2 linked regions of the Caenorhabditis elegans genome follow. The protein of the gene in region 2 interacts with the protein of the main gene of each other region in a biochemical or structural test. Each region holds a gene or a part of one and is shown on either strand. Other genes may lie near its edges.

Region 1 (3,760 bases), 8.4 Mb from region 2:
AGAAGAGCTCTTCGACGACGATGATGATTATGCAGAGGTAAGGGCGAATTTGTTAATAAAAATTATTGAATTTTGCGAAAATCTCCTTTTTGTCACCTCCCAGCAGCCGGAAACTGGCTTTTTGTTTGAAATATTCGCCAAATTTAGCGTTTGCTTATTAAAAACCCGAAAATTTCTGATTTTTTCCAATAAAAACAAGGAAAATTCGAATTTTCCAGTTAAAAATCTATTGAAATCCCTATTTTCCGTTGAAAATCCAAAAAAAATCGGCAAATTTCCGAGAAAAATTCTTTTTTTTTAAACAAGAAACCAGAAAAACCAGGTTTTCCAATAAAATAACTTTAAAAAATTCCAGTTTATCATGTAAAAATCAAGAAATATTCGAATTTTCCGATAAAAAAGCGGAAAATTTCTGATTTTCCCTCTATAAAACCAGAAAATATTGACTTTTTCAAGAAAATTCTTTGTTTTCCTCAAAAAACCTTAAAATCCTGATTTTTCACGGAAGAATCCAGAAAATGTTCAGTTTTAATAAGAAAAATCTAGAAAAATCCGGTTTTTCCACTAAAAAGCGGAAAATTTTTGATTTTCTTCAATGAAAACACAAGGAAAATTCGAATTTTCCAGTTAAAAATCTATTAAAATCCATATTTTCCGCTGAAAACACAAAAAAAGCCAATTTCAGAATAAAATTCAATTTTTTAACAAAAAAAAACGGAAAATCTAGATTTTTCAACGAAAAAATCCAGAAAAACCGGGTTTTCCAATGAAATAACTTTAAAAATTCCAGTTGATCATGTAAAAATCGAGAAATATTCAAATTTCCCGATAAAAAGACAAGAAAAATGGTTAATAGTCAGAAAAATTCCATTACAACAAAAATATACCAAAAAAAATTCGAGTTTTCCAATAAAAAATCAGAAAAATGCCTTTTTTTTCAATTCAAAAGCGCGATACAAATCCAAAAAGCCAAAAAAATGTTTTTTTTTAAATTTTTCTGTAAAATCTGAAAAATTGTATTTTCTCATAAAAAACAACCTGAAATTTTCAATTTTTTAAAATAAAAAACCCAATTTTTTTAAAAAATCAAATATTTTTCAGCTACAACCCGGTCCATCACCAAAACCCTATAGATTTACTGAATCTGAACCTCCTGTTCCACCACCACCACCAACTACAACAACTCCAAAACTTCATCACGATGAAACTCTCGACCTTGACGCGACATTTGATCAACCAAATCTCAAAAGGCGACGAGTTCACCTCGATCGTTCTAGTCCAGAAAATCAATATCCAAGTGAAGATTCGATTTACGAGTTCACCCAATTTACACTACAAAAATGGGAACACGAAGAGTCTCGGCGACAAGAAAAACGGAAAAGAAAGCGAGTTGCTGAGCGAATTGAACGGGAAAATTATGTGCATAATGCTATGGAAAATTTCAATTTAAATATGCCGAGCGTGTCGGATGTGGAGAAGCTTCGCCGAGAACGAGATCAATTTAAGAAGGAAATGGAAAAGTATCGGAGCAAATGTGAGAAGCTTGAGAAGAGATGTGAGCAGTTGGAGATGGAAAAGAAGAATTCGGTGCCAGTTTTTCAGGTAAAAATTTGCAGTGAAATTGGACTATTTTCGCAAATTTTGGCATTAAATCGTCAAAAATTGTATTTTATGATTAAAAAACTATACATTTAGCGATTTTCAGCGAAATTTTGCGATTTTCAGCAAGAATTTTAGCAAATTTGAATGCTAAAAATTAGCAAAAACGGACTAAAATTAAGAATTCCAGCAAAAAAAAACTGCACACTTCTCCTAGAGGGGTACAAAAACTGCGTGAAACCACGCCCATTTTTCTGTGCGGCACTGTTGGTTTTTTTTCGATTTCGACGCAAATTTGTCTTTCTTTGCCGATTTTTTTTTGCGTTTTTGATGTTGAAGAAATTTTAAATTCTTAAAAATACACTTTTCATGTTATTTTCCACTCGGAGAGGGAATTTTGCGTATTTTCAAATTTTTTTTCCTAAAAAACGTCAAAAATACAAAAAAATACCTTCTCCGAGTAAAAATCTACATGAAAAGTGTCACAATTAAAAAAAAATGGATGAAAAATACGAATTTCCTTCGAAATTCAAAAAATTACAAAAGTACGGCACGGAAAAATGGGCGTGTCTTAGCGCCAAGTTCGCGGTAATTCAAATTCCAAAAATTGTCAGAGCAGTTCTGTCGATTTACGCGGCCCGTGTACTCCTCGTGGAGAAGTGTGCATTTGTTTTCAGAAGATCCTGCATTTCTTGGCTTAAACCCCTACGGTAGCCGGTCTCGACACGAAAATTGTTGTAAAGTGCAAAACAAGTATGCGCCTTTAAGGATTACTGTATTTTCAAAATTTCTTCATCGATTTTTCATAGTGTTCCGAATAAATTTTTAAAAATCTAAAATAAAATTCCCATTTTCCGTAAAACTACAGTAATCTTTAAAGGCGCACACCTTTTCAAATTTAACAAAAATTTTAAAAAATCACAAAATTTCACGTCTCGGAAATAAATAAAAATTTTCAGCCATTCAACAGCAATTTCTACTTTGGACCGGCGACAGCTTCAACTCTTCAACCATTCCAACTACAACCTCCGGCTCTTCAATTCACACACTCGTTCAACTTCACCGCATTACCCTCTACTTCTGCACCATTCCCACCGGCTCCTTCTGCTGCTGCTCCAGCACCTTCCCCGTTCAGCCAAATGGGACCTGTTGGACCAATGGCTCCACGATATACTGATCCGATCACCGTGTACGATTACAATGATGATGATGATACTTCGTTGAGTGATCTGTCGAATAGTTCGAAAAGTGATATTTCTGATGATCTCAAGTGAAACATGAATAATCTACTTATAGAAATGTGTGAATATTTTTTTTTGGATTTCCAATGCGTGTAACATTCGTCTTTTTATGTTTTTTTTCAAATTCACAATTAAACAATAAATCATATTACTTGTATTTCGAGGAGCTGGACACAGGGTCTTGACACGACAATTTTAAATATTTACTTACGGACTTTTTTCAATAAATAATTATATTTTCAATGAAAAGCTAATGTTCGAAATCACAAAGGAGCACAACCAATTCAAAATCAGCGCTGATTTTTTGTTCAATTTTCCGTCTTTTTTTCCTGAATTTTACGAAGTTTTCTGCAGTTTTTGTCATGTTTTACAGCAAAAAAACCATATAATCTTGAAAAAAATAGCTGCAACAAAACGCGCTCCATTGACAAAATCTCAAGTTACTGTAGGCAATCTGCAAATTTGCGCCGCGGTGTTTGCGGCCTCCGCTCATATTAAAAAAAATATTTTAAAAATTATTCTTTAAATTTTAAACCGTTTTACAAAGTTTTTTTCTTCATTTTTCAATCTTTTTTCTTCGATTTTTCCAATTTTTAATATAAATTTTTGCCGAAAATGCTTATAAATATTTATTTTCAGGTTTCTGGCAATGGATAACTTCACAATTTGGGTTGACGCTCCCACTGAAGCACTTATTGAGACACCAGTTGATGACCAATCGTCAGGCTTTCTTCGCGATGAGATCATGCTCACACAGCAATACGTTCTTGAGAAGCTTGACGAGCAGACTGAGCAAGATAAAGGCGAGCAAACTGATGAGCAGGCGGCGAAATCTCGCGAGCTGGCTTCTCAAGTTCAAACCGAGTCGCAACGAATGCATGATATAAAGAAGGAGCTTAACGTATTCAAAGAGTCGTGCA
Region 2 (2,950 bases):
ACCTGAAAATGTAGAGAAAATGAAAGCCGGCACACCACTGAATGATTCTGATAGACTTCCATGGCTTCAAGCTATTAACAACTACGCAAGACTCAATCAAGGATACGTTATCGCTTGTTCTGCGCTTAAAAGACGTTATAGATCCATTCTTTGTGAACATCTTCCCAATGGAGCCAGCGGAAGAGCTGTTTTCATTCTGTTGAATTTAAAAAGGCAAGTAATGTTCAGCGCGCAAAAAAATGTGGTGAAAGAAATGGGCAGAAAAGTGAAAATGGACAACAAACAACTCAAATTCGCACTCGCTTCCGTCCGCTCGTTTTCCCACTTTCACACATTTTCACGCATTCATCGTTTCATTTTTTGCAGGGAAGTTCTTCAGCAACGCGTGAATTCCCGTCCCGGACACTTCATGCCATCTACTTTACTTGATAGTCAGCTGGCTACACTTGAACTTCCGAGTCCCGATGAATCAAATATCGTCACTGTTGATGCGAATAGTGAAAATGTGGATCAAATTGTTGATACAATTGTAAAGACTCTGGCATTGATTTGTGAATGATTCTAGAAATCTAAATAATATAAATAAATTTAATAATTTGTCATAACTGACAAGACAACCAACACAATAAACATTAAACAATAAATAAATACTAAACAAAACAATCTAAAATTAATCCACGTCTCTACTGTGCACGAGATAATTCAAAGGAACCATCGCTTTCTTTTCAGGATCGCGAGAAAGCGACTTCCGCATATCAAAAGCATCTTCGTCCCTATCTCCAGTGTAGTATCCAATAATTTGCCGGTAGACGACATATCCAAGCTTCTTATACAATTCGATGGCGATCTTGTTCGAAACACGAACAAACAGATCGACGAAATATGCTCTACGACTGAAAATTCTTAGATTTTAATAAAATATTAATTTGCCATCACTTACGCTTCAGAAGTACGTTCCAAGAACTCCATCATGTAGGCGGCTAGTCCCAATCGACGAAAATTTGGAGCCACAGAGAGAGCAGTTACATGTCCGTGCCAATTGGTGTCGCGTCCTTCGATTTTTCCCATGACTGAAAAATTAAACTATTTCACATTTATGTTTCATTTATTTTCAAACAAACCATAGGCCATAATTTCCCCGTTTGGATGTTCAGCAACTTGGTAATACTCCGGATAGTTCATCATATAGTGCAGGTAAAATTGGAAGCCATACTGCAAAAATAAATATATTTAAATTTTTTTTATTTACTGAGCAATTTACCGTTTCAGTGTTGATATCCAAGTTCACGTTATTGAACTTGAACATATCCATAACGTCGAATGGCCGGAGAGTTGTCATTTTTACTCGCAGTTCTGCAATATATTGCAATATTGAAGGGTAAATTTAAGTGTTATATTAATCACAAAGAAATTGCATTACTTGAGAGAGTTAACAAATTTTAAATTCGTTATTTGCAAACAAAATGGGAAAATAAATTTGGCGAACGCGGAAAAGAGTTGAAAAAGTGCTAAAACGAGGTGGCACTATTAAAAACGGTTCAAATAAATTTCGTAAAGGGCATAGCGCTGTGTTGTCAGAATTTAAATTATTTTTGCAGCTCGTTGATTTATTTTTAAGCATAAAACAAGCTATTATCAGGCTAATTAAGTTAAAAATTAATAAAAAAGAGTAAAATTCCAAATTAATTTGCAAATTCCTAAAGTACGCAAGTTTAGTGCGCGGTGTTTGCGGACTTGTCCACCGTAGTCCGTTGAAAAATTATCCTCTTTCGTTTTTTGTGTTTCAAAAAATAAATCGGTCAGGCGGTCAGGCGCTCCTCCTGACCGTCATCAAGTACAAACAAAACACTAACAGGAGAAAAAATCAATAAGTGACTAGCAGGGTGAGTATATTGTGTATACCTCTGCTTCTCTCTTCCACTTTTCTCTTTCTTTTAAAGAAATTCCAGTTTTTTTGCTTCCATTTTCACTTTCAAGTACACTATCTAATATACCTCATTTTGTATGCATTCAGGTGACTTGACTACTCGAATGGAAGCGGTTAACTAACAAAATATCAACATCATGCTAGGCTATTTTATGTAAGTTTAAATTTAGGCATTTTTCCACATTTTAAAACTTGATTTATTAAACGAAAATTTAATTTCAGTGTACTTATTCAACCGCTACTACTCTGTATCACAATTCTAGTCCTCTCAATTGTCATCTTCCTTCCAATACTGGTATATTTTCTTCCACGCTACACACAGTTCATCTTCTTTCTCAATTTCCGTTAGTTTTTCTTTTTTATCTTATCTTTTATCTTTGATCTATGTTACCTTGTTAAGGACGTCTGCCGAACACCGATTACAATGATTTGGCGTCGAACAACGTTAAATCAATCGGAAGATCTCTTCATTTGCCTGGAAAAAGTGGAAGGATTGGTGTTTGGCACATTCTGCCCAACAAATTGAGTTTAGAATGGAGAACAGAAGGAAAACATCCGACAGAGAGAGATTTTGACGATATGATGAGGGATTCAGAGAATCAGTAGGATTTTCAAAGAATGAATTCAAAAAAAATCAATAAATTTCAGAATTATCTTCTACGCTCATGGAAACTCGTTCGATCGCACATTCTACCATCGTGTGGAAATGTACAATTTGCTCAGTGATTGTAATTATCATGTCGTCTGTTTCGATTATCGAGGATATGGAGATTCAGAAGGAACACCAACCGAAAAAGGAATTGTTGAAGATACAAAAACAGTATACGAATGGCTGAAGGAGAATTGCGGGAAGACGCCTGTTATTGTATGGGGTCATTCGATGGGAACTGGGTGAGTTAAATTTATTATTTCACTGCAATCAGAAATTTTTAAACTCAATTTTTAAAGTACTGAGGATAATGCAAAAAAAAAATGCTGACTGATTTTGATATCAAAAAATACAAATTTAAGATGGCTTTTTTG

The links. Proteins that work in one complex are often made in the same cells at the same time.
Region 1: of the proteins of natb-1 (region 2) and syp-1, one has a biochemical effect on the other in vitro, tested with the Caenorhabditis elegans proteins (one study listed by BioGRID).

What each region holds. Positions count from the first base shown.
Region 1 is NC_003283.11:16,402,274-16,406,033, forward strand, and holds the start of syp-1 (uncharacterized protein), read left to right. Parts: upstream 1-2,000; 5' UTR 2,001-2,558; coding exon of another isoform or gene 2,559-2,873; 5' UTR 2,874-3,489; coding exon 3,490-3,760. Other genes in the region: F13A7.14 (BZIP domain-containing protein), read left to right, coding at 1-37, 1,102-1,602, 2,559-2,873.
Region 2 is NC_003283.11:7,982,079-7,985,028, forward strand, and holds natb-1 (N-alpha-acetyltransferase 20), read right to left. Parts: upstream 1,354-2,950; 5' UTR 1,340-1,353; coding exon 1,262-1,339; intron 1,213-1,261; coding exon 1,122-1,212; intron 1,071-1,121; coding exon 941-1,070; intron 894-940; coding exon 671-893; 3' UTR 579-670; downstream 1-578. Other genes in the region: F26D11.1 (Gluconokinase), read left to right, coding at 1-213, 367-559; abhd-12 (Serine aminopeptidase S33 domain-containing protein), read left to right, coding at 2,065-2,081, 2,150-2,271, 2,328-2,529, 2,576-2,818.